Linked DNA regions of Cricetulus griseus. The protein of the gene in region 3 purifies or fractionates together with the protein of the main gene of each other region. This does not show direct contact. Links are inferred from orthologs where the notes say so. Each region holds a gene or a part of one and is shown on either strand. Other genes may lie near its edges.

Evidence for each region.
Region 1: the proteins of Ptpn6 (region 3) and Cd72 purify together in Homo sapiens (affinity purification with western blotting; 3 studies listed by BioGRID). This does not show direct contact. The link is inferred for Cricetulus griseus from reciprocal best matches to the Homo sapiens genes PTPN6 and CD72.
Region 2: the proteins of Ptpn6 (region 3) and Cd22 purify together in Homo sapiens (affinity purification with western blotting; 5 studies listed by BioGRID and IntAct, with this or other methods). This does not show direct contact. The link is inferred for Cricetulus griseus from reciprocal best matches to the Homo sapiens genes PTPN6 and CD22.
Region 4: the proteins of Ptpn6 (region 3) and Kdr purify together in Homo sapiens (affinity purification with western blotting; 3 studies listed by BioGRID and IntAct, with this or other methods). This does not show direct contact. The link is inferred for Cricetulus griseus from reciprocal best matches to the Homo sapiens genes PTPN6 and KDR.

What each region holds. Positions count from the first base shown.
Region 1 is NC_048595.1:100,056,490-100,064,119, forward strand, and holds the start of Cd72 (B-cell differentiation antigen CD72), read left to right. Parts: upstream 1-3,225; 5' UTR 3,226-3,414; coding exon 3,415-3,496; intron 3,497-3,587; coding exon 3,588-3,695; intron 3,696-4,251; coding exon 4,252-4,323; intron 4,324-4,783; coding exon 4,784-4,873; intron 4,874-5,300; coding exon 5,301-5,633; intron 5,634-7,630. UniProt on the Homo sapiens protein: Co-receptor of B cell receptor (BCR) that plays both positive and negative roles on B-cell functions. Recognizes the Sm/ribonucleoprotein (RNP) self-antigen ligand, and coligation of CD72 and BCR inhibits BCR signaling.
Region 2 is NC_048602.1:4,898,005-4,905,691, forward strand, and holds the start of Cd22 (B-cell receptor CD22), read left to right. Parts: upstream 1-3,627; coding exon 3,628-3,643; intron 3,644-7,472; coding exon 7,473-7,537; intron 7,538-7,687. UniProt on the Homo sapiens protein: Most highly expressed siglec (sialic acid-binding immunoglobulin-like lectin) on B-cells that plays a role in various aspects of B-cell biology including differentiation, antigen presentation, and trafficking to bone marrow.
Region 3 is NC_048601.1:21,671,128-21,678,779, reverse strand, and holds the start of Ptpn6 (tyrosine-protein phosphatase non-receptor type 6), read right to left. Parts: upstream 4,471-7,652; 5' UTR 4,321-4,470; coding exon 4,313-4,320; intron 4,227-4,312; coding exon 4,104-4,226; intron 3,861-4,103; coding exon 3,666-3,860; intron 1-3,665. UniProt on the Homo sapiens protein: Tyrosine phosphatase enzyme that plays important roles in controlling immune signaling pathways and fundamental physiological processes such as hematopoiesis.
Region 4 is NW_023276807.1:142,444,598-142,451,758, forward strand, and holds part of Kdr (vascular endothelial growth factor receptor 2), read right to left. Parts: intron 4,417-7,161; coding exon 4,323-4,416; intron 2,432-4,322; coding exon 2,235-2,431; intron 1-2,234. UniProt on the Homo sapiens protein: Tyrosine-protein kinase that acts as a cell-surface receptor for VEGFA, VEGFC and VEGFD. Plays an essential role in the regulation of angiogenesis, vascular development, vascular permeability, and embryonic hematopoiesis.

The DNA.
Region 1 (7,630 bases), on a different chromosome or scaffold from region 3:
GATAGAGTTTAGCTCAGTTTCCTGATGTCTGCGGGATTTGCATGACCGAAATGACACAGATGAACCCCTTTCACATAGCATATTCACAGTTGGGCCCCCTGCCTTAGTGAGACAATCCGTTCTCTGTAGTAAGCAGAGTGGGGGGCAGGTCAGGGCAAGGCAAGGCTGTGGTGTTTGTCCTCTTGATGTCAAATCTCAGACTGTGGACTTGAAATGCACAACTCTGACCTCGAAGTTCTTAAACCCTCAGTGTTGTTGACATGGGACTGTGGGGAAAACCGAGTTCCAGACTTGTGGGTGTTCAGCTTTGAAAGGTAACATGAACGCCAATATTGCAAAGACTTTCATACACACCCAGGAAGGGCAAGGATTGACCCTTCCTCATTCTGTTTCCCATCTGTAAAATGTAAGATCACTTAGAAGTCAATCAAGGGATAGCAGTGCTCCCGGACATCCCCAGGATCTGTCACATTGTATCCTCCAGGGGAGCTTTGACATAGACACTACAAGCTGGCCTAAGACTGAAGGGACTGCAGGATGTCATGAAGAGATAGTTCACCATCACCAAGATGGGGAAAAGGAGAGAAATCCAGACCACTCCTGATGAAGACCTCTGGGCCATTCAAGCCCAGATCCATCTCAGTGCCACTTTCTTGTTTCTTGGAGACAGCATGAGGGTCCCTGATGCTGTTTCCAGTGCACATTAGAAGCTAGGCTTGGGCATCTAACCTGACATCCAGGTCATGTTCACCTGTGTACTGGGGTTTTGGAAATGGAGACATTGTCTATGGTCCAGGGAATTCCTGCCAGTGTCCTTATAGTCACTCACTCTGACCACACCCACAGCTTTTGTGCCACAGATGCAGTGGCCCTAACTGTCCCCACCCATCCCTGACACCAGCTGCTCTGTGCCCTCCCACTCACTCTCACATGCCCCAAGGTCCCCAGGGAGTCACCAGTCCACTGCTAGTATCTGGGGGAGGCCCTGAGCCTGGAGGAAGGCTGGGCTGTTGGAAACTTTAGTCTAGCAGGGACCGTTAACAGCTGCTGCAGAGAACCCTTAAAACACAAACGAACCTCAAAAAGGAAATACTTGTAAAACGTGTTGGCTTGACCTGTGATGAATTTTCTGAAAGGGTTCGTCATTCCCTGCTGTGGCAAAAAAAAAAAAAAAAAAAAAAAAAGGCATCTCTCTGACAAAGACACTCACCTCCCACAACACCCCTAACAGGCCACAAAGTATAGGAGCTGTGCACATGCAAGCGCACACAGATGCTTCCTGCACCTGCCTCTTTTCAGACACTTTCCTCGGGTGACAGTGTGCTTGCTCTTCTGCCCCATGGGTCACTTTCTCTGGGGCAGGCAGGCTCTCCTGTGCTACTTTGAGAAAGCTCTCCCACCATCGCCTAGCCCTGCTATATACCACCAGTCACAAGAGTTGGTTGCATGTAGTGAGGAACTTTACCTCTCTTTCTTCCTCCCCACAGCTGCAGGACAGCTGGTGTGTGTGTGTGTGTGTGGGTGGGTGGTGGTGGTGGTGGGCGGATGTGGTTCAAAGGGGGTGGGTTTTTCTCACCTCCGTGCCTCATCCGGCTCCAGCTCATTCCAACCCCCAGCCATGAAGGCCTTTTGTGATTCCTTTAAGAGGCAACAATGTGGTAAAAGAATATTATATAGTCCCTCTGGGTACTGCGGCTCTAAGCCTCACCTTCCTGCCACTGTCAACTGGGCCCTCTTCACCTCTTCACCCACAACAACTTAGTAGGTTTGGTAGTCTCCTCTGCAAATGCCTCTTCTCTCCGTGTGACTGATTCTTTGTGTGTCTCTCTCTGTGTGTCTCTGTATCTCTCTGTCTCCCTGTCTCTGTCTCTGTCTCTCTGTCTCTGTCTCTCTCTCTCTGAGACAGGGTCTCATTACATAACCCTGGCCAGCCTGGAACTCATGGTGTAGACCAGGCTGGCCTCTGACTCACAGGAATATACCTGTGCCTGCCTCTGCCTCCTGATTTCTGAGTTTAAAGGTGTGTGCCACTACACTTGGCCAAGTGTCCTTTTTCTCTGGGGATGAGTATGGTGGACAATGTTTGGACTATATGCATGTCTACATGTTCTGGGAAGTAAGCCCAGATCATTATACTCCTAGTGTACCATTGAGCTACACCTCCAGCCCCTAGGACCGCTAAAAGAAAAAATTAACTATAACAATGGGACATTTCTTTGCCTCGCCGCTTCCTAGGAAGCCACAGCCACCACTTTCTTCTTTTTTAAGTTTTATTTTATATTATTTTTATATGTATGAGTGTTTTGCCTGAATGTATGTTTGTACCAGGCTGATGACTGAGGTGGTCAAAGAGAGTGTCAGATCTCCTAGAACTGGAATTACAGATGGTTGTGAACAGCCATGTGGGTGCTTCGAATCGAACCAGTACTCTTAACCACTGAGCTTTCTCTCCAGCCCACCACTTCCCTTCTTGAATCCCACACTCAGTTTCCTTTCCTCCCTCCCTAGGAGGTATGTAAGAACTATTGTTACTCCAGGCTAGCCCTTCAGCACAGCCCAGAGCTGCTCCTGAGCCCCTGCTGAGTGGACATTGATCCCTGATACTGCTCTGGTGTGGGAACACAGGGGATGCCAGAGGAGAGGATGTGTGAGAGAAGGAGACAGACCTGGTCACAGGTGTGTTCAGGTAGACAGCAGGAAAAAGCTGTACAATGGGGAGTCTGGGGTGCTCACAGAGGAAAACCAGCTTCTTCCTGCCTCCCTTGCATCCTCACATTCCCAAGAATGGTTTCTGGGTGACAGTTCAGCAAGCAGGAGGGGAGTCAGAAGCGCTCCATGCTAAATGGGGGACATGAACCTTATCTAAGCTACCAAATTAAGGAACCCTCCTGGTAAGCCATGGCCCTACTGGGCACCCTAGAATGAGGAGAAGCTAAGGCTCCATAATAGGAACCCCAAATCTAATGGTTGAGGATGAAGCTGCAACCTGGAGCAGTGATTGGTGCGTGCCCTGGGTCAGTTAAGAGAAGAGTCCCAAGTGTACACTGATCTCAGTGAATGGCAGCCCAGAGGGAGTGGACAACCGGAGAACACACCAGACTGGTGCGTGGATCTTAAGTACTGTGGAGGACAGAGTGGGTCTAGGATAGGTGGGGAAGGGCACTGGCTGGACACAGGTCCAGGCTAGCGTCAGTGTCTGTACTTTGGACCTTGGTAGCCCTCCTTGGTCTTCTGGCTTCAACCCAGGGACCTCTTCTGCTTCATTGAGTCCATCTGCCAGCCGCCTTCCTCTTTTGTGACTTGGGGTCACAGCACAAAGCACGGAGCATCACAGTCAGAGAGAACTCAATGTCTAAGAGAGGAGAGTGGCCCGTGGATTAGCTGGAAGACCTTGAGGCAGAGGTGCCCAAGGCCATGGCTGATGCCATCACCTATGCAGACCTGCGCTTTGTGAAAGTGCCCTTGAAGAACAGCATCTCTAACCACTTAGGACAGGGTAAGTCCTGCTTGCTGCCCCCCTTCATATTCCACCCTCATTCCACAGTCCCCATTGCAGACTCCTCCTACTTCGGACCTTCCTCTTCCAGACTGTGAGGCCTATGAGGATGGAGAACTCACCTATGAGAATGTGCAAGTGTCTCCGGTCCCAGGAGGACCATCAGGCTTGTCTTCCCCTGCACGAGTGGACAAAGCAGGTATGGAGGCCCCGGGAAGGGTGTGTTTATCTACGAAGGCTGTGTTTATCTGGCGAGTGTAGAGCAGTCTTGGAGAAAGCAGCAGGGCTGTACTTGAGAACAAGCTAAGAGTCAGGGGCAAGTTGAACGTCCTCGCGGTAAGCTGGGGGGAGGATCAGGGCAGCCGGGTGCGAGATGGGTGGGGAACAAGAGTGGGAAGAGATGTTGAAGGATGAGAAGTCACAGACAAGGGACCCCAAGGAAATGATACAGAGGTGATAAAGGGAGACCCAGGAGAGAGAGGAGGGATATGAGGTGTGGACAGGGCGACCCAAGAAGGGCTTCCGGAGAGAGGACTTCACTGCGTGGCATTTCTGGGGGCAAGCAGGAGGTGAGCAGGGACCACTCCCCCAAGCCCCGAAGGCCAAGGGACATGAGTCCTGGGGCAGCAGAGGAAGTCCCGAGAGTGACTGTCCCATAGCACTTAGTCCACGACAAAGGTCTCAGCATGGTGTGGGGCCGGGGGAAGGGAATTACGGGGACTTTCCACCCTCATTGGGACGTTCCCCTTCGGCAGGCGTCAGGTCAGAGCAGCCAACTGCGTCATGGAGCTCCGTGAAGTCGCCGGCTGGAGGGCGGATTCCCCGTTGTGTGTATCTCCCCCTCCCACCCCCGCAGCTCCAGCCTGCGTTCACCCGCAGCCCACCTGCGGGCAGCGGGCAGGGATGCCAGATGCCGCATGCGTGTGTGTCCTGGAGGGGTGGGGCTGGGTTCTGCCCTCCGCTGCTCTTTCTGGGACTTGAACGACAGCCCAGCCACTCCACCTCATCACCGGAGCGATTGTTCGATTGTTCGCACCTGCAGTCAATCCAGACCACAATTCCCCTGTTCCGATGGTCCCTAGTCACATGCCTCCAGGTCCCTTTCCCTGTATGAAGTTTAGTTCCTTCCGCCGGGTAATGCCCCCTTCAATCCGTTTCACCAGTTACAATCCCCAGCCCCTATTTCCTGACTGACAGAGCCCGCTTAGGAGCGATTTCCATTCTCTATGTGTCCCCACGTGGACACCCTTCCCCGGGACTGACTGTCCCTCATCTCTGTCCCCTAAGGTCCCACAGTCGGCTTGCAATACTTCTTGCTGGGCCTTCTCCTGGCCTGTCTGATGTTAGGGGTGGCTGCCATCTGCCTGGGAGTTCGCTGTGAGTATGGGTATCCCCATGCCCCTCTCCTTCTAAACATCTCCCCTTCTCTCTCCGCCCAACTCGCCTTTCATCAGGAAGGCTCAAAGACACTGTCCTGACACCCTTGGCTTTTGGGTCTGTCCTAGAATGCCCTGCCTTCCTAGGTTATCCTTACCCACTTCAGGAGTTCCTCAAACTGGGCAGACAGATCTTAAATTCAGCACATTATACAGGAAGTTACATAAGCAGAAAGGTTGATAATGCAATCTTAGAGCACCAGCAGGAGGAAGCGCTCTCAAGTCCCCCATCTGTGTCTTGCCCCCGCCCCCCCCCCCAGTTCTCCATTTGTATCCCAGGCTGGCCTGGGCACCTATCTCAGCCTTCCCTAGACAGGGATACAGGTGTGTGTTGCTACACCCAACCAGTGTCTTCCATGGCCAAACAGATCTGCAGGTGTCTCAGCAATTCCGGCAGGTAACCAGGATTTTGGAAGCCACCAACAGCACCTTGTGGCAGCAGCTCAGGCAGAAGACAGCTCAGCTGGGGCAGAAGGAGGTGGATCTGCAGGAGTCCCAGACAAAGCTGACCCTGAGTCAGAGCACTTTACAGGAGAAGCAGAAAATCCATGAAGCCACTGAGCAGCAACTACAAGCCTGTCAGTCTGAGGGACAGAGGACCAAGGAGAATTTGGAAAGGGAGGAGCAGAGGAGGAGGGACTTGAACCAGAGGCTGATCAAAGTTCAGGACACACTGAGGAGCCGCCTCTCTTGTTCTTCAGGTATCTTCTGGGAGGTTTCAGGGAGGTGGGGCAGACCGCCTGTGAGGGATGGACTGAATCCAGGAGTGTCTAGTGACTGGGTCTGCCTAGTTCTCAGCAGCCAGTGAGTTATTCAGGAAAGGGGCAGTGAGCCAGAGCAGTGGCTGACCTGGGTGGGCTATGCAACTTGGTTACTGAGAAGAACACTGGGTTTAGGGGGATGCACCCAGCTATATGGCAGATCATGGGGGCAGAGGCACAAAGAAATCTCCAGCAACCTACATCACATTGTCCAAATCTCTTTCTGACCCAGGGGGCATCTAGATGCTTCCACCAAGCTTAAGACAGCAAGATTGAATTTAATTTTATACTTATCTAGCTCTATATGCAACTTAAACTGTTAAGTCTCATATTTCTAAATTGCTATATATCTTTAAATGATGGTAAACATTTAAAGTCATAAAGGTCTAATTTAACTATACTTAAAATATAAGCTAGGTCCATACAACTTAAATTTAACTCATGTATCTTTAAATAATGATGAAAGTTTAAAATCACAAAGGTCTATTTCAAACTAACAAAATATTTATACCACTCAGTCCATCCTGTAAGCCGTTTACAAAGGTACAGCTTTTATTACAAAAAGGGATTTTTCTCTAACTAAAGGCAAACTTTTAACTGCTGAGATACTAAACAGACAGTCCTCAAATGCTCAGAGATCTAGAGAATATGGCATTTAAAATGTTTTGTTAAAAAGCTTTTTATAACAGAGAGACAGGCCAGCATAATGCCTGAACCTTTCACACGCCCCTAGCTCTCATCTTATGCCTCTGGTGTCTCTGTGTGCATGTGTGCATTCGTGAGTGTGTGCTCTTTCTCCGCTCCCCCGCCCCCCCCCCCACTCCCGTGTGTGTCGTTGGAGAATAGTTTTTGAGATAGGCTTTCTCCACTCAATGTAGAGCATGGCCAAGCTCAGCTCTACTTTTTCTATGGGTGCCAGGTATCTGAACTAAAGTCCTCATGCTTTTGTGGCAAACACATTTAACTACTGAGCCATCTCCTAGCCACTCTCCTTCACCTTATTTTCCATGACTCTCAGTCCCTTGCCAGTGCTGCCACCCATTCCCATATCTACACTTTAGACCTTCATGTCCCGTGGTGCCCATCTGTTCACAGCTTGGGTGTAGACATCTATTTCGATTGTAGCTACCCAGCCCTACAGGGTTCTCTACTCTCCTCCCACCTTCCCAAGGCATCCAGCCTGGGGAGTCCCAGTTTTCTTTCTTTCCCACAGCTATCTCTTATCCTCACTTCTCTCTCAATCCATCTTGGGTTCCAGAGCCTATTACCCAATCACCCACTCTTTTGTTTCCTGGTCCTGGTGCACTAGACTGATTGAAAACTCAATCCTGGATGAGCCCAGCTGACAATTTAGTATAGGCCTGCATCAGGTGTGATAAATTGTACCATTGATCAGCCTGGTGCCACTGAGGTTCTGCTCTGCAGTAGTCTGTCTGCTTTTCGCAGTGACTCCCTCTCCATCGTGCCTTTTCCATCATGTTCAGCAGGTACTGCCATTATCAACTCATCAGAACGATTCCACCTAGCCTACCTGTATTCCTCCTTTTTTTTTCATCTGTTCATTTTCATGTGTGTGTGTGTGTGTGTGTGTGTGTGTGTGTGTGTGTGTGTGTGTGTGTTTGTATGTGCGTATGTATGCATGTGTGTGTGTGTGCACAGTTTCTTTGACGCAAAGTTTCATCCTTGATTGCTCTTCTACTTTATTCACTGAGGCAGGATCTCTTGGTCAAACTCAGAGCTCATCAATATGGCAGCTTTCTGTGGGGATTCTTTGCTTTCCACGGCAGGTATGATAGGATGGCTACCACTCACTGGTGTCTTAGTTACTTTCTATTGCTGAGACAAAACACCAAGACCAAGGTAACGCAAACGAGTTTAATTGGGTTTGTGGATTCAGAGGGTTAGGATCCACGATGGCAGAGTGAAGGCATGATGGC
Region 2 (7,687 bases), on a different chromosome or scaffold from region 3:
ATGTATTATTTTTATTTGTGTGTATGTGTGTCTATGTGGGTATATCCCACGTTTGTGCAGCACCTTCAGAGGCTAGAAGAGGGCATTGAATCCCCTGGAGGTGGAGTTACAGACGATTGTGAGCAGCTGAGAGGATGCTGGGAATCGAATCCGGACCCCCTGGAAGAGCAGTCAGTGCTTTTAACTGCTGAGCCATCTCTGCAGTCCCCCTTTGCTTTAATCCTTATATAAGGTTATTTTTTTTATCATATTTGTATGTGTGTTTTACCTCATGCAGGTACAGTATGTGCCTGGTGCCCATGGAGGCCAGAAGAAGGCGTCAGATCCCCTGGAGCTGGAGTTACGGATGGTGGTGACCCACCCTGTGGGCGCTGGGGATTGAACCTGGCTCTTCTGCAAGAGCCATAAGCGCTCTTAGCCACTGACTGGCCTCTGTCACCTCCCCACAGCGGCCATGGTTTTTGCAAAAACCTCAATACTCTGTGTGTGTGTGTGTGTGTGTGTGTGTGTGTGTGTGTGTGTGTGTGTGTGATTTCCCCATTCGTGTCCTTTCTCGATTGCTTTTAAGATTGTTATTTTTTCCCAGAACTCTCTCAAATTTAGAGATACTTTTAGAAATTCGCCTGTGATGTGTCTTGGCATGATGCTGGAGACTTTTCTCATTTCAGGGGGTTTCCTGAGTAATGTGGGGATGTTGTTAAATCAAGAACATTTGCTACCATTATTTCTTCAAATACTCTTAGGCTCAGGTATCTGGCCACCTGGTCTCCAGTTGGTGGCACTGTGTAGGAAGGGTTATGGAACCTGGAAGAGGTGCAGCTTTGCTGGAGGAAGCATGCACCTCACTTGGGGTGGGCTTTGAGAATTCAGAGTCCCCTCCCACTTCCGGGTTGTTCTCTCTGGCTGAAGATGCCATGTCACAGTTTCCTGATTCAGCTGCCTGCTGCTGGGTCTCCTCCATCATTACAACCTCTCCCTCTGGTCCCTTAAGCCAAACCAAACTCTTCCTGAGTTGCGGGTCGTGGGGCTTTAACACTGCCATGAAAGTGACGAAAAAAAGTCAGTCACCTTCCCACCTCAGCCTGGAGATTGCAGGATGCCCCTTGAGCCATTTTTATAATTTGAAATTTCTATCAGATTGCTGTAGGAATCTAGCAGAGCCACTGTGTCCAGGGTAAGCATTAGAGTGAAGGGTTGCTTTTTAGAAGTACTTTGGCCTGGAAGCATCATTGTGGAACAGTGATTGTTTCCCGTGATTTACAGAATTATTTTTTTGAAGGGGTCTTGCAGCCTTCACAGGACTGTGGTCGCAAGACACCTCTGAGGCTCTTGGATTATTGTGAATTACAAATGGATAAAGAGTAAAGGACTAGAGTCATGAGGACATGACATGCTCTCCTTTAGAGAGACAGATAGGTTAGATTAGACCTAGGCATGCAGAAATACTTTACCCAAAAAGCAACTTTGTGTAACAATCAATAAAAAACAACTTTGTACGGCTGTTTGAGGTTCAGTCCATCATAGGTTGGACCTTCCTGCTGCCACACAGTCGTCTTGGAGGACTGGAGAGATGGCTCAGAGGTTAAGAGCATGGGCTGCTCTTCCGGAGGTCCTGAGTTCAATTCCCACCAACCACATGGTGGCTCACAACTGTCTGTAATGAGACATGCTGCCCTCTTCTGGCAGGCAATGTATTTCAGGCAGAGCACTGTATGCATAATAAATACTCTTAAAAAATTAATCTTGGAGTGACCTTTTTCTTCGACTAAATACTCTAACATCAGATAATTCTAACATCAGTGTTATCCTGATGCTGGCATCCGTAAAGTCTGAGATTTCCTTGTCTTGGTGTGGTGAGTAGCTTTCAGCCTTGTAAGCCTTGTAAGCATCTGAGATCACCCCCCTGCTGCTACAAAGAAGCAACATGTAGGCAGCCGCTTCCAAATCATCACACAGAGACTTAGTGTTATTTATAAATGCTTGGCCAATAGCTCAGGCTTGTTACTAGCTAACTCCTACATTTAAATTAATTTATTAATTTTATTATTTATTTATTTATTTATTATTAACTCTTACATTTACTATTAAATTATGTATTGCCACGTGGCTTTACTAGTCATCTAGCATCTCTCGCTCCCGCAGGGGCTGCAAGTAAAGAGTCTCCATCCAGCCTTCCCTCGTGCCTGAGGGCGAGGATGCCTCCTTATTGCAGGGCATGGGGAAAGCTCAGGACGCCATTAGGTACCTGCTAAAATCATCCAGTCTTAGTGAGAAAGATGTGTCTCAGGACTGGTGAAGGGGACCCCCCTACCCCCCCCCCCCCCCCCCACCGAGCACAGCAGAGGCTCCCTCACAGATGCCAGGTTAGGGACAAACCACACTCCAGCACCTGTTTTCACAGAGATCCGTTATTAATTGGGGATAAGAAGTTAAAGTGGCTGCTTTCTGACTCAGACAGAGAACAGCAGCGAGTGACCTTGCAGGTGTGATTTTTTTTTTTTAAAAAAAGATTTTACTTATTTATTTTTTATTATGTATACAGCATTCTGCCTGCAGGCCAGAAGAGGGCGCCAGATCTCATCACGGATGGCTGTGAGCCACCAGGTGGTTGCTGGGAATTGAACTCCGGACCTCTGGAAGAGCAGTCAGTGATCTTAACTTCTGAGCCATCTCTCCAGCCCCGCAGGTGTGATTTTTAAGAGAAGAAGGGGAGGGCTGTGTTAGAATGGGCTAGGAGGCAGTGGTAAAGGAGATAGGAGGAGGAGAAAGGAACCAGGGAAAGGGGGCAGGGATGTGTCCCAGAGGGATAAAGGACTGTCTCTGGATGGAGGAGACAGACACGTTACCAGGGCAAATGGCAGTTTATAAAGGTAAAAGGGGAAACCCCATGTTAGGATGAGGTATTTAATTTTAATTGGGCATATTTATTAGGTAGGCCAAAGGGGGCTTTTCCTTACTGGATTTCAATACTTTGATAGCTGGTCCTTGGTGGTCAGCCTCAGGAGGAGGAAGTGGCCAAATAAGGGAACAGACCTTGGTGACCAGCTTTCGGAATGTAATCTAACTTTTAGCAAGGCAGAGGGAACTGGGGAGAAGGGCAAGGCCTGCCAGAGACACGTGCTCGACTGGGCTAGAGTCCCCTCAGCTCTTCCTGCGTGGCTGCCAGTGTTACTGATACGTGGAGACCCGTGATAGTCCCGAGAGCGGGTACCAGCCCTGACTTCCTCTAGGCCTCTGACATCCTTCCAACAGGCCTGGCGGGGGAGAGGGGGAGTGGCTCACTGTGCTTGGGAGGACGATGGTCCCTATTGTGCTGAGGTCATCCCACTGGCAATAAAGGTCCCAGCTCCACACTCTGTCTTGTCTGGAGCCACTTGGAGAGTGTGGAGAGTATTCTCAAATCTTTGTTACAGCCTGGCAGGGGTGACAGTCTAGACCGGCCCAGGACCTTCTCCAGCGCAGACACAAATGAACAGGGTGATCTTGGACTTCTCTGTACTATTTGGCTGCCACACGGAAGTCGGCCGACGCAGAGCTCTGACTCTGAGGGTGTCCGTTTCTTTGTGTTTCAGCTGAAAAAGAAGGGTTTTGTTGGAACTGTTTTGTCCATGTGTTAGCCTCACCAGCATGTCGTGTGGTATCGGTAAGGTGGGGGGTGGGTACGGGTGTGACTCAGTTGGTACAGTGCTTGCCTAATGTGCAGGCAACCCTGGCCTCATGCCACAGTCCCTCATGAAAGCAGGGGTGAGGGCTCTGTCTCTATTCTCAGCACTGGGAGGTGCAGGCATAAGGATCAGAAATTCAAGGTGATCCTTGACTACATAGCAAGTTTGAGACTCTGTCAAAAAAGAAGCAAAGAGTGAGGGAATTAACTGTCATTCCTCGGAGCCCAGGCGTTCTCTCTCTCTCTCTCTCTCTCTCTCTCTCTCTCTCTCTCTCTCTCTCTTTCTTCCTTTTCCCCCCTTTGGTTTTTTTTTTCTTCATTTTTTTTTGTTTTGTTTTTTGAGACAGGGTTTCTCTGTGTAGCCCTGATTGTCCTAGAACTCACTCTGGAGACCAGGCTGGCCTCGAACTCCGAGATCCTCCTGCCTTTGCCTCTGAGTGCTGGGATTAAAGGTGTGCGCCACCACTGCCTGGCCAGGGCTCAGAGTTTCTAACTGGCATAAGCCTTCTCTCTGCTCCCCTTAGCCTTCCTGTGCTATTTATTTATTTATTTATTTATTTATTTATTTATTTATTTATTTATTTTTTACAAGGTCTGGGGGTTTGTAGTTGTAATTAACAGGACAAATAGGGAAAGGGCTAGTCAGTCTTCCACATCCTCCACGATGGAATCTATGGATTCAGCCAAACATTCATCAAAAACGTTGTTTGTCCCAGCACTCGGAAGGCAGAGGCCAGCCTGGTCAACAGAGTGAGACCCTGTCTCAAAAACTATAGTTAAGAGTCTAGCATGCATTGGGAGGGGCATATGAGGCCCCCACCCCTCCTGAAGGCTTCCTGCCTGTGAGCTATAAGGTGTGTACCACCATGCCCAGCTAGCCATTTCCCCCCCTTCAAACACAGCTCTGGTCAGGAATCAAATCCAGGTATTTGCCGTTGATTTGTGGAGTTTTCCCACCTTGTTATGCCCCTGCTATATTACTTCTTTTGAGGGGGTCAAAAGTACTGGGGGTTAAAAGTAGGTCCTCATACATGCTAGAGAAGTGTTCTACCACTGAGCCACACCCCAGGCCCTCACTGGGGGATTCTAGGCAGGGGCTCTACCACTGAACCACACTCCAGCCCCTCACTGGGGGATTCTAGGCAGGGGCTCTACCACTGAGCTACACCCCCAGCCCCTCACTGGGGGATTCTAGACAGGTAGAAGATTCTAATCTTCTATCACACTCTTAGGGTCCTTTTTTTGTTTGTTTGTTTCATTAAATTGGTGGGGCTGATCTTGAAGTTACTCTGTAACCCAGGCTGACCTTGAACTTTTGATCTTCCTGTTTCAACTTCCTGAGTAGTTTCCAAGACAGTCCTGCTGTTGCCCCCCCCCCCCCCCACCTTTCACTGTCTTCTGCAGTTCTTCTTAACCCTTTCAGATTCTGTCTGTGTGGCTAGCTACCCTCAGGCCATTCCCACGCCTGTGACACGTATGACATGTAGAGTTCATCATGCCATACGTTCATCATGCCTCCCTCCCCCGTAAAGCCTCCTGCTGAGCAGAGGGCATGAGGTCTTCAGGTCTTCACAGTTAACCCTGGAGAAACCAGGAATGTTAATCACTCAGGGCTGTCCTCTGTTTTCCACTCAGAAAACTAGTAGTGGATGTTATAATAACCCGGTGAGGCACACCTTACCCAAATCCCCCAGAATGTGTATCCCAAACTCTCCCTCCCTAGCTCCTAGTTAATCGATTCACCCATCCTTAGGAGAGCTGTCACACGTCCTTTATAACCTGCTGACCTCTATGCTGTCTCTGTCAGAGATCATACCAGATCCTAGGCCCCTACGCTATGGAACCCATCTTCACTGGCACGTGTGTTTGCGAAGACTTTATTGACTCTTTGCAGTTTGTTTTCTGACCATAACGCTTGTAGGAAGAGCACCCCTGGTCCCCACCACACCTGTGGCATTCATCTTTTCCCAACCAGCCATGACCTTGAAGACATTTTTCTGTAACACATTCCCTGCGCTTAGAAAACGGAGATCAGCTCTCCCTCCAATGCTCCCCGTCACCTGTAGGATTTGTACCGAGAGCGTGGTGGCTGCTGGAGAAGAATCGGTACAAGTGACTGGGATTCAGTCTCAAGACTTTCCCATTTATAGCGGGTAAAGGTGGTTGTGGGCTAGCTTAGCCACCGAGGTTTCACCCCTGGAACCCACATAAAGGTGGAAGGAGAGAGCTGACCACAAGTTGTCCTTTGACTTCTATATAAGCACTGACGAAAACACACATGTATACACACAACACACACACACGAGCACACATGTGCCAGCACATGGTCACAGATAAGTAAAAATCAAGAGCCAGCACTCAGGAGGCAGAGGCAGGTGGATCTCTGAGTTGGAGGCCAGCCTGGTCTCCAGAGCGAGTGCCAGGACAGCCAGGGCTGTTACACAGATAAACCCTGTCTCAAAAACCCCCAAATAAATAAATATCAAGCAGAAAAGACTCCCATACAGCAACCCTTCTTTCCCCAGAGCTCGCCCAGGGCCTGGTCCCCTGTTCCTGCCTTTGATGGTACTGCTAGTAACAAGATGATGTCGCCAAACTAAAGCCACCTTCAAGAAGACCTGATCCTTCCCAGCCAGCTGGGAGCAATCGTGAGCAAGGGTTTCACAGAGGGGCCTTGGGCAAACCTTGGCGACTCGTCAGACACGGATCCCACAAGCTAAGACGTGACTGCGTGACTGTGTGACTGTTCTCCACCATGGCCTCTTTCCCCCACTCGGATCTGCTGGTCTCAGAGCCACAGAGAGGAAGGGGGTGTGGCCAAGCTTGTGAGACTTCACTTACTTTTACTCTCAGAGGCTGCTAGGGACCCTGAAGAGCACACACACACACGTATGCACGCACAAGGAGACAGGTAAACACCATTTTGAACTTTTCTCTTGTTCTCAACAAGGAAATATGGTGCGGTTTCTGTGTGCTGGCCGTAGGACCTGCTGTTTTCTTCTATCTAACTTACCATAGGCACAGACAGACCCCTGTCTGTCAGCATCCCCTTTGCCAGGTTTTCTGGGTTCGCTGAGATGGAAGAAGCTGTTGGATGCCCAGGAGGGACTGGTGGGGCTGGGAAGCCAACCCCAAGGCTCTCAGCAGGTCTGAACTGAATGGATCTTAGGTCTGGACAGTGAGGCCCTATTCTAAGTTTCTGAATTTAGTAACTGTTGCTACCCTACTCTACTCCTACCAACTCACCCATCCATCCCAGGCTCAGGGCCCTGCTTCTTATGCTACGGTGACTGCTGGGATCCCGTGGGCACGCAGCTTTGCTCTGGAATTGCTCCCTTCCAGCCAAGCCTTGCTGAGGATGAAGCCAGAGGGGCACAGTGGTCCAGCACCTAGGGGCTGATGTGGCCACAACCCTTGTAGTGACCCGGAGGGTGTCACTAAGTGTGTCCCTCAGAACAGAGCTTGCAAGCTTGTGATGAAAAAAATTAAAACAGACTATGGCTTAGGAAGTAAAGGGAACTGCCTGTCCATACCATGTCTAGTGACATGTGTCGCACGCAGAGCTTGAGAGCCACTGTGAGAAGTAAAGCCTTCTGTTGAACTCGGCTTTCCCCGAGTGGCTTTGGAGGGTGTCACTGTGAGACACATTCCCTGCACCTGGAAAGCTGCGAGTAGCTCTGCCCCAGCCTCTGCCACCTCGCCTCTCACACACCCAGGCCAGGCCAACCCCCACACTGGGGACAGAAGCCAGCCTGCTTTCAGCCAGTGGACCAGCTTTCTCTATGCTTGCTCCTGATCCATCCAACAGCCATCCCCACCTGTGTCCTGCAGCCTGGGAGGGAGATGGCCCGAGAGGTGCTGATGCTGTGCCAGGTACAGGGCATGTTGGTAGGGAGGGTGGAAGGGACGCAGCTCTGCACCGACCCCGGAGACACACTAGGTTGGCACATCCTGTAAGATCCCTGGGGGCTGACACAGGTCACAGCCTCATGAATAGAGTTAAATTTAACTCTGTGTAAAGTG
Region 3 (7,652 bases):
ACAAAAAACCTGCCTGCTTCTATTTCTATAAATAAATAAGTGGGTTATGATGGCTTGCTTTTATTTTGTTTGTTTTTTTGGAGATAGTGTTTCTCTATGTAGCCCTAGCTCACATTTATAATCCCAGCATTCAAGAGGCTGAATGGCCTCAATGAGGCCAGCCTGCTCTACATGGTAACTTTCAGGCCAACTTGAGCTACAGAGTAAGTAAGACCCTATCTCTGGGACCTGGAGAGATGGCTCAGAGGTTAAGAGCACCGAATGCTCTTCCAGAGGTCCTGAGTTCAGTTCCCAGCAACCACATGGTGGCTCACAACCATCCGTTATGAGATCTGGTGCCCTCTTCTGGTGTGCAGATATACATGGAAACAGAATGTTGTATACATAATAAATAAATAAAATCTTTAAAAAAAAAAAAAAGATCCTATCTCCAAAACAAACAGCCAGGCGTGGTGACACATAACCTGTAACTCCAGCCCTGGGTTGGCAGAGATAAGAGGATAACTGTAAGTTTGAGGCTAGCCTGGTCTACATAATGAGTTAGTTCCAAGCTAACCTGAGCTACAGAGTAAAATTCTGTCTCAAAAAAAGAAACAGCAGAGCTGGGCAGTGGTGGCTCACGCCTTTAGTCCCAGCACTTGGCAGGCAGATCTCTGTGAGTTTGAGGCCAGCCTGGTCTGCAAAGTGAGTTGGAAGGAAGGAAGGAAGAAAGGGAGGGAGGGAGGGAGAGAGGGAGGGAAAAAGAAAGAAAAGATGTGAGAAAGAAAAAAGTGAGATGGCTGAGGGTAAGAATTTTTGCTATCAAGCCCACAACCCAAGTTCGATCCCCAGGACCCACATGGTAGAGGGAGAGAACCAACTCTGATAGGTTGTCTTCTGATCTCTCTGCACACACTAAGACACATAAGTTCTATAACAAAAATCTTTTAAACAATGAAACAAAACAAAAGCTGAGAGATTGCCATTTCCCCAACTTTACAATAAGAAAATGGAGGTCAAGCACTTGCACACTGGTCCTAGGTCCTAAACTGATAAGCGAAAAGGCTCCACAGAGTTCACACCATGGAGACTGGGGCTATAGCTCAGTGGGAATGGAAGACCCTGGGTTCCATCCCCAGCACTGAAATCAAGGGAGAAGGGAGGGAAGGGGGATGTTCTAACAAAAATCCAGAGCCTCTTCTGAGTGTTTACAATGAACAGGCAAGTAAAACCCAGAACATTTGGAGGGACAAAAAGACTCATCCCCATGAAATGCAGACTTGGACTGGGTTAAAGGAGGGACAGTAAAATGTAGATGGACCCAAAGCACAGAAGGCAGTGGTTGAGGTGACAGAAGTCGGGAAGGACCAATGGTAAACTCCGGAGTGATGTGGGGACACAAACACTTGACTGAGAGGGTAGTCTCAGGGTTCCGGGGAGCCCAGGATGGTGTGAGTGAAGGGCTCAGAGGGGCTGTAGGGCAGAAAGCAGAACTAAGGACCTTTCCGTGAAGCGCCCCTTCCCAGGAGGAAACTGTAGCCCCACAATGCCTAGCCTCACAGGAAACCACGTGATGGAAAAAATACAAAACTCCTTCTGGGGAGAGAGTGAGAAGTGAGGTGGTGAGGTTTCTTCAGCTTAGGGACAGAGGGGGGGGCAGCATTTTCCAACCGCAAGGATTGGGGTGGGGAGAGTGGGGCTCAGTCCTGATCCTTCTCAACTCTGCCCAGAGGACACCATAGCTCAGGGCCCTTCAGAGGCTCCTACCCCAACCCAGATGTCCTGGGCTACCCCAGCCTATCTCGGAGACAGCCCAGGGCCCCCAAGCAATGTGAGGGGGCTCAGCTCCTTCCCTCAGGGACAGGATGAGGAAGTCTCCATGCAAATGTGAACTGACCACAGGCAGAGTTCACCACTGAGGGGACAAATGCAAATTTCCCAGAAGAGGCAGGGCAAGGACACAAGGAGTATTGGGCCATGGCTTCCGCACACCCTAGAGTTAGGGATGAAACTGAGCTTCTGGGTCATCCAAAGTGCCTCTTGGAGTCATCCAAACCCCTCAGTGGTCTGTCACCCATGTAGTGTTGCATGCTTCCCCTGTCTGTCCTACCCTGCTTCCCTGACACCCGTCAGCTCCCCCCTCCTCCCCTATCACAGTGAACATACCAGCTACAATTCTGCTATGCCTCCACAGTCCGTGTCCTCTAACACAGCAGATCCTGGCTTGACAGCAACAAGGGGAGACAAGGAGGTAAAAGAGCATCCAAGAGGCCAAACCACCTTAAGTGTTGCAGGTAGGAGGGGGAAGGAGAGAGCATGAGGCATGCCCTTCCTTTCCATCCACCACCAGAGGAGAAAAGCCTTCAAGGAAGTGTAGACCAGCCTCTTCGTGTTGGCTGGAAAGGGATCTCCAGAGGTGAACCACAGGGGCTTTTACCCCAATCATTCAAGTTCTACCTTTGTTTGTTTGTTTGTTTCAGTTTTTTAAGTCAAGGGTTTCGTAGCCCAGGCTAGCCTCAAAAGTGCTATGTAGTTGAGGACGAATTTGAACTTGTGGTCTTCCTGCCTCCTCCTGGGATTGCAGACATATGTCACCACTCAAGGTTTATGCAATACAGAGAATCAAACCCAGGGCTTAATGCAAGCACTTTGCCAACTGATCCACAGACCTTAGGCCTCCAGTTCCAAGTTTTAATAGGTGACTTGAACAAAAATATTGAGCTAAGTCTGTAGGCACAAATCTCAAAAAAGACTACAAACCACTGGGAAGTGGCTCAGTGGCAAAGCACATACCCGATAAGCACAAGGTCCAGAGTTCAGGCCCCAGCAGAGGGTCTGGAGTCGGGGGTGGGGGTCAAGGTTCAGAATCATTTCAACAGTAAATACACAAACCCAGAACAAGTTGGTATGCGTGGCCCCAGAAGTCCATGAGAAAGAACCCCCTAGTGTTATTCCATGCCCTTTACCTCAATAGGAGCTGTGTCAGTCACTATGCTGTACAGCTAAGATGAGTTACTGTGTAATGAAGGACATCTATTTATATGCCTCTCCTTGCAAGTGCTCTGGGGAGACCACCCAAGAACAGCCAGCCAAGTTATGGGGGCCATGTCCTTGCAGCTCTGGTGAGGGATATCCCAAGTGTTTCCTGGAGCCGGGTAAGCCTGGGTCCTTACCCCTCTATACCTGTGACCATATCAATGACCTTGCTTCACCCAAGCTCTGCAACCCCATCCTCACTGTGTTGTTGAGATAAAGCCCTAAGTATCCCAATAACAGGGATCCCTAAGACCTTCCTAACATGGGGACCTAAAAGGCCCAGACTGTGGAGAGCTGAGGGAAGGCAACAGAGTTCCATAGAAGGAAGAGCTTTCTAGCAATAGGGCCAACCTGATGGGAAACACCAGCCACAAGGAGTGGCCTCACTGTCACTCTCTGGACTAGGTTGCTAGACAGCAGGAACCCTACAGAAAGGCAAGGGGAGCCCTTCTCTTGCTTCCTCAGGGGACAGGGGATGGGTTAGTTAAGGGACTCATCAGGTAGAGAGGAAAGCGGCTAGGGCTCTGAGATAGAACAGGGGTGGCAGAGTAGGCATGAGGAACGGACTGAGCAGGTCACTTGGGCTGGGTGCTCCTCTCCTTTACACTGATCTCAAGGGAGCGGGCCAGCCTGCAATGCGCGCGGCTCACCTCTCGCTGGTGGGGTCCGAGCAGTTCAGTGGGTACTTGAGGTGGATGATCGTGCCATCTCGGTCCTGAAGGATGCCCTGCTGCTGAGTGTAATACTCCACCAGCTCCGTCAATGTTGCAAACTTCTCCCCTCCGTACAGGTCATAGAAGTCCCCCGAGTTCTGAATCCGAATATGGGTCACCTGGTCATCTACCCTGCAAGGCACCAGGGAGTGAGGCCCCAGGTACAGGAGCAGAAGTGGAGTGGGGGACAGGCCAAGGGGCCCGAATGCAAAAGCACACAGGACTGGGGTAGACGCAGACGGTTATGGGGACACACTAGGGCTGCAGGCAGGGACACCGCTGCAAGACAACATGAGAAGGCAATGCAACCCAGGGAACAGAAGAATGCTCAGGACCCAAGCCATGAGCTGCCAAATCGCCGGGAGGGCCACTCACCTGACTGAGAGGGAGAAGTCACCCTGGTTCTTGCGACTGGGCCGAGCCAGGAAGCTCCCAGGGACTCCCCGGCCCTTGAGCAGGGTCTCGGCATCAGGCCCACTGAGGTCCCGATGAAACCACCTGAAGGTGTACAGGGTGGTGAGGTAACGTGCCCCGGGCGCCAGGCCACCCTTCCTTTCTACCTCCCATGGGCCCCAGGCCCTTACCTCACCATCCTGGGGCTCTTGCTGAATTGGCTGCGGAGAAGGTGGAGGGAACAGCCTGTCTGGGCAGGTGGGAAAACTCTAGGGTTGAGCCTCAAGCAAGGCTCTCGGAGCCTAAGCCTCCTACAACCCCAACCTGCTGTCCTGCTACCAGGCTACCACTCTACTGGCCTGGGGCAGCCAGCAGGGCGGAGACAGGAAGGGGCGCGGCCGACCCCTTGGGGGAACTCACTTGTACTTCTCTTTTCAGAGCAAGGGAAGAGAAGCAGAAGGGTGGCAGGGTGGGGGAGGGCCCACTTCCCACAGTCTGCCATCAAAGGCCCAGGAGTATGGCACTCTACATAGCAAGAGGTAAGGACCGCGCTTATGCCCCGCAGCCCCTCCAGGCCAAGATCCACACATGTGACTCCTCATGGCCATTAGGTCACCTCTTCCTCCTCCACCAGCTGCTTCTACTCAGCATTCCTTGGCACAATCTAATAATGATGGTGTGCAGTGACACTGTCATTTAATGGAGTGTTGCCACATGCCAGACTCATTGCTACAATGTTATTTGCAGGCCTCCCATGAGTTACTCCTCACCACAGCCTCATTACACAGGCACTATCTTTATACCCACTTTACAGACAAGGAAATGGAGGCTAAGGGAGTTTGAGGAATTGCCCGCAGGCCTTACACTTAGTAAATTACCCGATTCAGACCTAAATAGTTCAGTTTCAAAGCCAATGATTTGTAAATACTGCCTGCCAGCCCTCAGGACCTAAATTTAGAACGGTAGTCAATAGATGTCTTGTCCAAAGGAGATATTATCACAGCAGAGAGCCCCCACAAAAAGACCTCAGGCAGCATTGCCAATTATGGGCCTCTTCTATTTTCAGAGACTGTTTACAGGCCTCTTTTCTCTACCCTGAGTCTGAGCGAGCAGGTGTGTGTGTGTGTGTGTGTGTGTGTGTGTGTGTCCTGGAAGCTAGGGTTGGTGACCAAGCTCCTAACAACAGCAGATACAGCAGATGCTCACAGGGATAGTAACTTTTAAGAGCTCTGAGCCCAGCCGGGCATTGGTAGCGCACGCCTTTAATCCCAGCACTCAGGAGACAGAGGCAAAGGATCTCTGTGAGTTCAAGACCAGCCTGGTCTACAAGAGCTAGTTCCAGGACAACAGCCTCCAAAGCCACAGAGAAACCCTGTCTCAAAAAACAAACAAACAAAAAAAGAGCTCTGGGCCCAAAGTCTTATGACGGCCTGTGTATGTAATCCTCAGTATAAATTAAAACAAAAAAAAAAAAATCAAACACTACCAAGCCAAGAGCAGAGGAAAAACAACCTGCCCAACAGAAGAGTCAAGAAACTCCTATTGGTGTCTTCCTTTGGGAGAGCCATAGGCTGCTGGGGAACAGAGCTGGGACAGGGCCCCCTATATCCTTTAGGGGGGTATTTGTTTGTGATACTTTGGTTGGTTAGTTTTGGTATTTTTTGCCATATTGGAATTAGAACCTCAGGCCCTAGCCATGCATGGTGGTGCACGCCTTTAATTCCAGCACTTGGGAGGCAGAGGCAGGTAGATGTCTGAGTTTGAGGCCAGCCTGGTCTACAGGGGTGATTTCCAAGACATTTGGTGCTATAGAATGAGACCCTCCCTGTTTTAAAAAAGAAGAAGAAGGAGAAGACGACGGAGAAGCCTGTCCCTTCACTATGCCAGCAGCAGCCCTGAGGCAAATCCTCCACACTATTTCTTTTTCTTACTCATTTAATTCACTTTACATTTCCGAAGTCCCAGTGATCGAACCTAGGACCTCAAACATGCTAGACAAATGCTTGCTTAGAAGGTAGGAAGCCCTGGGTTTCATAGTCTTGCTAAGTGCAATGACTCACACCTGTAATTCCAGCACTTGGAAGACAGAGGCAAGAGGATAAGTACAAGTTTGAAGCCAGCCTGGGCTTCATCAAGAGATCCAGGCCAGCCAGGGCTACATAGCAAGACCCTGTTTAGAAAGAAAAAAAATAAAGCTAACCCTCTATGACAAGTCTTTTATCATTCTTGGCGACATCAAGTATCCCTTGACCTTGGTTTCCCTCCCTTTCTCTTCTTGCTAACAGCTTTGGGAATTTACATGCTGGGACACATACTATGAAAGATCTGGAATCGTCATGGACTAAGCTCACCCCAAGGGTCAGGAAGACCACATGAAAAGTTGGTTCCAGCACAGGGGGATCCACCAGCAACCTGGCTTTGTCCCCATTCCAACCTTCAGAGTCCAACCCAAAGAAGTATCCAGTGAGAAAACACATGAATACACATGGTTACATGTATGTTTCTGGTCTGCTCCCACATGCAGATGAGCAAGCATTTACACAGATATCTGCAAGCATATGTATAGAAACACAACTCACATGCACCCATCATGTGTCCATTTATATACATACCTCGCTGGGGGCAGGTCCCCAACATGACAGGGACACAGGAAGTTCCAGAGTTAAGCCTACTTGGTTCAAAGAAGCTTACTAGGCCCCTAATGCTTCTGGCCCTTTAAGTGTATCTAAAAAGTGTCAAGCTGGAAAAGGAGACACTCCCGGTAAGATGGATCACCCCTGCTATTCTCTGGCAGGAAAATAATCGCAGTCCCCCAGAAGCAAGGCACAGGGCCCTGGAGTTGGAGGAACATTAGGCAGCATACCACAGTCATCCTATTTGAACCCTTGGCCACCTAGGACATAGGGATTTTGCCTTTGCTTTAAGTAGGCTCAAGGAGGCTGACAGTCCTAAATGCAAGTGCCTGGTATCTAGAAGAGACAGAAATTCCCTTGAGAAGCAGGGGATAAATGAAGACATCAAGATCAATGGTGATGCGAGGAAGACAGACAGGCCCTGCGTACCAAAGACAAGATACAACAATCTTACATAGTTATTGGACTTCTCTGAGCTTTGATATCACCACCTAATAAATGAGCTCAATAAAAAGGGAACAAAGCAACCAGGTGTGATCGCTCATACCTATAACCCCACTATTCAGGAGGCTGAAGCCTGGGACAAAAGGCCAAGTGTGATGGCACATGCCAGCACTTGGGAGGTCATCCTTGCTTGTGTAACTAACTGCTAAGTGGTCTGGTTTCATGTCATCAGCTGTAACATTTTACGATGGATTTTGCCTTCTGCTTTTGCCTCTGTGGAGTTGGCCAAGTGCAGACAAAAAAGTATGCTTCTCCTGGACAGGTACAGACCTTTCTCCCTTGTCATAATTTCCTCAATAGTACAGTAAAATAGTTTGCATAGCATTTACATTGTATTAGGTAAATACTCAGAGAGGAATTAAAATATGCATTAGTACATGTGTAGGTTCCATGC
Region 4 (7,161 bases), on a different chromosome or scaffold from region 3:
ATTTCCTCCCCAGCTGGAAAGCATAGAAATGCAGCTAGCTTCGCCCCCCACATGCCATAGCCATTATCTTATGAGGCCAACGCCAGCTTCCTGGCTCTATCCACTGCTAGTTGGGTCAGAGGACGGAGGAAGTGAGGTGGGGACCAGAGGGGGACATTAAGGACCTACCCATAGGGAATAATACATTCAAAGCTTTCTTTCCTGTTGTTAAACTTCATGATCAAATAGAATGCTAAGCTGAGGCGGAAACAGAATTTCATGGTGTATCCAAAGGCACCAAGTATACTGGCAAATAGTGCTAGAGACCACCGCTTGTTGCTATTGCACATGTTAATGGACTATTACACGATGTGCTTCATTCAGAGTCTGGAGAAGTCAAATTAACCTCTTGACTTAAGACTAAAGTTATTTGGTAAATGGGTTCTATTTCAGTAGCCCTAAAGGGGAAGTAAACAAAGGAGCATTAAACAACCACGTATCCTCTCAAAATAAAATATTTACTGTAACTCAAGAAATGAATTTTACATGTCTCCAGGTTTCCTGACTTGGGGAGAAGGAAGTAACGAGATATTGTGGGAGAGGCTCATCTTGTAGCATTTCCAGACAGGCTGAGAGCAGGAAATCCTTGCAATCTTCTGAGAGAGCCACATCTCCCAAGACTGCCAGATCAAAAGGAGCCAGACATTCCCCAAGGTCTGTCTCCCTCAGCTCTGCAGAGTGAGGAGGAAGGCACAGAACTCCATCTTAGACTTTGCTTACCCTGGGCAAAAAGAATGCCCCCAGGGCACCATAGGACATTAGGACAGTCTTCCATAGACTGTCCTTACTGAAGGACAGGTCACATCTTATGGACGGTCATATCTGCAAGAGTGCTGTCCTGATGAAGAGCCTTTCTATCTGGTAATAGTTAATTCTAGAAAAAAAATTTCAAAGTCATTTTCACGGGTCTCAAATCCTCTGAGATGTAAGGTTAGATACAGATGAATAAATAAAATAGGGAGTCTGCAACCCAGACTTGGAGAGATGGTCCAGCTGTTAGGAGCACTGGCTGCTCCTGCTGAGCATGTACATTCAATTCCCATCACCCAAGGTGGCTCAGAGCCTTCTGTAACTCCAGTTCCAGTGGGGGTCTAATGCCCTCTTCTGACCTCCACAGATAGCAGGCGTGCACACAGTACACATGCAAAACTTGCATTCACAAAAATGAAAACAAATAAATCTTTATATATAATGAAACCTTGACATTCCTGAGAAGTGCATAATATTACAGGTGTCTCATAAGTGAAGATGGGTTTATTGCAAGAAAAGGTGGTGTGCAGTTTTTAAAATACAAAAGAGATCATAATTCATGCTCTAGAAATCGAATACATGTTGCCTTGTAGTCTTTATTATAAAGATGTTAAGTTGCATGCCTTGCTTACAGTGCTAAAGTAACCCTTTCACATGAGACAAAAGCTAAGCTAATCCTTTAATGTAAAATGAAAGGTCTTCTGTAAATCAGTCCTAAATCATTAGCCCTCAAAGGTGAAGTATGCAAAGGAAGCTCACACAGCTACCATCCCCTCAAAATAAAATACTCGCTCTAACTATGAAGCGACCTTTCATGTCTCTAGGCTGCATCTTCCTGGAGTCGATGGCAAACTTGAAGCCCTCTCAGAGCACACAAGCAAAGACAGGACATGCAGTCCTCCACGGCTTCTTTGGAGATGGTGTTGTGCTTTGCACATGGGTATGTGGATTTTTTTTTAATAAAGTGTGAGTCTGGAAAGGAAAAATCTTATGGGGGAGGGGGAAAAACACAACCTCCAGAGTCCTTGGCTATTTCGCTATGCATTCCTGCAAAAACCTCCTCCCTGCTACAGATAACCTATCTCACCACAGAAACCTCTCTATAATCCACTTCCAATCTCCCTCCATTTCTAAGATCTCAGGGTCTCAAACAAGAGAAGGCATTTTATGAGTCCCTATAGCCCATGACAGGTCACAGAGAATCTCAGAGCACCACACAGAAGGGACTAGGACTGACCTATCTAAAGAAGACAAATGCAGCTCAGACCAAAGCCCAGACAGTCAGTGAGTCCTTTCTTAAAAGAAGTCTGGGAGGGAGATTTTTATATTCTTTTTGGCAAACAGCCTTTCCATCAAGACTCCTGTTGGACTTAACTTTTCTTGTGCCTGTTGCTTTTTAGACCTAGTAAGTGGATGTGGGAAGTACATTCTTGTCCACTGCTTACCTTGAACATGGACATAAATGACGGAGGACATGTCGACATCCCAATAGAAGCACTTGTAGGCTCCGGTATCATTTGCCACCACTTTTGGAATTGTGAGTGTCTTGCAGAAGACGCTGTCACTGCACTCAGTCACCGACACCCTTTCCTCAGAACCATGATGATTGTTGGGCCAAAGCCAACCCAGGTCCCTCTGTCCCCTGAAAAAAGTATTCCAGGAAGGTATTAATGTGACACCCCATGGCATGAGGCTCTGAATAAGAGAACGGAAGGTATGGTTCTCATGAGCATATAAAATGCTCAACAGACACTTCAAAGTTGATAGACACTGATGACAGTCTGCATGGACATGCCACCAAAGATCACACACTCTATTTCAGAAATCACCCATGGGGTCATGTGTTTTCTGTTAGTTCACAATTCATTCTTTCAGTATGAACTGAAAGAATGTTTTTTTAAGTATATATAATTGCTGACCATTATTAAGGACAAAAACTAATGCTTTAAGGGACCAAAGATATGATGCTCAGTGCTAGAGCACTTTCCCAGTGTACACCAAGAAGAAATAAATCAGTGCCTTTATGGAAGCTCACTCTAACTAGGGGAGAGACAACTAGGACATACAAGTCATTGTATAAAAGGTGTTAATTTAGTGCTATGAAGAGAAACATAAAAGAAGCAACAAACAGGCCCTATGCACATGATGAGGAACAGCATTTCAAGTAGGAACGGTAAATGTGAAGGACAGAGACCAGTGCACATCTGGAGTGTTGGGGAAACAGCAGGGAAGCCAGAATCATCATGTAGGTGTGAGGGAGGAAGAAGAGAGGGCACCGAGAGAAGAGGGCCCTGGTACCTCCTTGAAAGGGTAAAGTTAAATAGACAATACTTTTATTGCTTCATTTCTCCACAAAGCAAATGGAAGGTAGTCAATATGAATAAAACAATGTGGCCCACTGAGCCTTCATTCAAAGAGCTTGAAACTCCCATGACATCACAGTATTGACTGTGCCTGTTCTCTCCAGGGTTTGCTCAGAACACAAGAAATGTTTCTGAAGTCTCCTTTAAAGGGAGGGGGACCTTTGCAGATCTCAAGTGACCTTTGTGTCTGAGACTAGGTAGAAGGGAAAGTCTCTGGAAACGCCATGACTTACGAAGATAAACAGCTCCTGCTATGGCTTTCTGTTTTTGTTCCCCCCCCCCCTCCAAAGGCTGGGTATTGAAGACTTTGCAGACCTTAGATAAGAGGCCTAGTGTCTCTCCACATGCAACAATCTAAAACAGACCTGAGTTATGCTGTGGACCACTTGGTATTCTTCAAATAGGATGCAAAGGCCACAAGCTGCCAGGACTCTTTGTGGCACCAGCACTCAAAACCACACTGATTTACAGAGACCTCTGAGTCATTCATGAATGAGTGCCATATCCACCTATACCTCCTCTAGGTTTCCTTTCTTGACTCTTGGTTGAAAAGCAAAATTCAAAGGCCTCCTCTTGTCTAAGAGTTCTGTTTCCCTGCTTATCCAGCATCAGTAGCGTGGCTACTTGCGGGCAAGAGGGAAAGAGGGCCTGAATATCAAGCCAGAGTATGCAGTTCATGTTTTGAGCAGGACATATGGTCAGGAATATTGTTGGCTAGAGATTAAGTTGCTACTACAGACAGAATTTCATTTGTAGAACACAGTTCTTATAAAGGGCTAAAAAGATGTTCACAAGTCATTCGAACTGACATGAACATGGCTCAGACTTCCACTCTATTTCACAAGGATAAGCCCTTAACTTTACTGATTCATCAATAGTCATGAATGTCTATCACATGTCAGTTTTTGGCACGCATGTACATGTGTGCATGGTTGTGCAAATGCATATGTGAGTATGCATTTGTACGTGTTGAAAAGGCCCGTCAAAACAGTACAAAAGTTTGAAGAGACCTTTCTCATTGTTTCGTTATTGCATGAGTTCTTAGAAGCCTCATGACTTATAAACAATTACAACAATACTATTATAATTCTGCAGTAATGGAAATGTTGTGACCTCAGTAAACAATGAGTCCTTGCACACAGGAAATCTGAATCTAAAACGAACCCTTACCTGCAAGTAATCTGAAGGGTTGTATTGGCCAAAATTGTAAGTACATCTTTTTGTGTGCTGAGCTTGGGTGGATGGAGGGAATCATCTGGCAAACCTAGAAAGAAATTAGACAAGAGTCGGACCCCATAGGAAACACCTTCCATCAGCAATGCATACTCCAAGTTTTAAAAGACCTCTTCAGCAATTCATCGTACAAAAGTGGAATCTGCTTTGCCCCATTCCCAGTAAAAGTTCACAAGCTCTGTCATAACAGGAAGAATGGGCAGATGGTCACAAACCAACACAACAGTTCTGCAATTCACAGTGCTAGGGTGGAGTTCCTGTTTTCCTGCACTGCCAACTTCAAGGTCTTACAAAAGGATATGGGACATCGAAACCCGGTGAGCCACCATCTGATGATCTCAGGCCCTTGGGAAAGCATAGGATGTACACATCTGACTAAATTGCTGATTAATGAAAACTCCCTAGAGAGATCTCTATACAGCTCATCTCCATACCTCCCCCCAAAAAAGGGGCAGGAGCTACTGTGACCTTTGTCCCATTGTCTTTTATCAGGCAGTATAGCAGATTTCCTTTGGTAATCAAGCTGCGGTAGTGGCTCATAAAGACAGGGCGTTTAGATGAAGGAAAATGAATTGAGGAAGAGTAAAAATCTCTCAAGTTCATGCATACATGCATATTAATATACTTTTCCTCTGAGCAAAACTTAAAATAGTGTAACTCTAATGAGCTACAATGGGGGGTTCTCAACTGATTAATTAATCAAAGCTCTGAGCTCATCTAGACACAAAGCTCCAGACACAAGATACATGTTACCTAAAAAAACTAAAACACAGAAAGATATCATGAGATATACACGTCTCTAACAGGTCACACCACAGCAAGATAACTAGGTGTCAGTCATCTAAATGTAAAGTGTTACCAGGCATGTTAAAAGCATGAGAAAAAGAGGAGTTGCCCACCATGCTAAGGGACATCAAAATCTTCCAGCTCTCAGCTTGGAAAGTAACTGATCTGCCTAGCCTGGTGGTGCACACCAGGAAGCCCAGCACTCAAATGGACCAAACAAGAGGACTGTAAGTTTGAGTCTAGCCTGGGCCATATAGTGAGTGAGACTGTCTCAAAAGAAAAAGATAACTAATTAATACCAGGCAGCCACCCAGGCTTTCTAATTCACACCAACTCAGAACAGATGACTCGTAGGGTCTCAGCTGGCATTGACCTTGTTGGGCAAATAAGTGAACGTGAACAAATACGGGGCCGTGTGAAAGAAGAGAGTATGAGCAAACAGCCAGGGCAAATAGCCAGTGCTGTGACACCGTGGCCCCTATGTGAACAACTGGAAGCAGGTGGTTAACTGACAGCACAGGGTCTCACACACCTGCACAGATGTGCAGAACAATCTACAGCTACACCACCCCAAATACACCCAATCTAATCAGATGCACATATGTTGCTGATCTAACTATAGATATATTGATTGATGACATGTTTTCAATCATTGGAAATGAAATGACATTAATAACCCCCAGAAGCTAGTTGACATCATCAATGACTTGTATTTGGGCAGTGGTTCTGAACTTTATGTGGTGTTTGGATATTCCTAGATCTGCAAATATACACTTTAAGTGGCATTTAAAGTGACTGTGTCACGGGTGCTCTGTGGGGTAGTCATGGGTAGTCATGTTTAATCAATCAGTGTAATCACTTTTCAATATGAAAGAAGGCAAGCACATAAACACGTCTTCCAATGATGGAATGCTACTTGGTTTGAGAAGTGAAAAATACAATTTGTTTGATAAGTAGATTTTAAACATGACTCAGAAATATTAACCCCAAAACAATAACTGGATACGACTCATATGAGGAGCCAAATGAAAAAGAAGCCATCAGTTGGGCAAATGTGTAAGGGAAAATGTGGTAGTAAATAACCACCATTCAATAAGCTGTGTCCACTCTACCTCTGCAGCAAATGACTTTTATTCTTCAGTGCTGGGAAGCGAACCCAGACTCTCAGTGCTCTATCTCTGATCTACATGCCACAGCCACTGAAAGCCTCTTGACTGTCTCTGTAATAAAGTACAGCCAGAGATTATCTTAGACTGCTGGCACATTAGCTATATTCATCTTTAAGAGACATCCCATTCACAAGAAGCCATATACAACACCACGCTATTCTAGGGATCGCTCCACAATCAAATCTAGCCAATAAGGTTATCAATAATAACTGGAGAGTTACATCAATGACTAACACTCCCTCCACCCATTAAACCCCATTCATTTTCATTGGCAAGTTTGGGTCCTCTCCTTTAGAAAGCTAGTTCTGACTGTAAGAGGTACATATGCTACTACACAATAAAAGCCCTTTTATGTTCGAATCCCATAACCAACACTAATTAATTTGTGCACTGTTATCCTTCCTGCTCGAAGACAAGAAGGAAAAACAACAGCAGCTCTGTCTCTAGACTTCGATGGCACCAATTATAGTCCAATCCAATTAAGCAAGTCACACACTCCGAAAGGGCAACCTCCATTTTATTCAGGGAACCAGGCTACTGTTAAACTGCTGCTCTAGGAACACCCCAGGCTTCAAAGCAACTCACTTCTTTGTGGGACACAGGGCAAGCACATATTCCAGACTATCTTTCTCTTCCCAGAAGGGGGGAGAGTGGGCGTTTGTCAGGGACAAATGAGCACCCATGATGGAGCTGGCCTGATGAACCGAGTCATTATGAAGAAAACTCAATAACTGTAGACAGATGATCTTGGTACTGTATTTCAGTGCCAGTGTTTTTAAGGCACGCAGTTGTCTTCTGATGCAAGGAATATTTTTTACGGA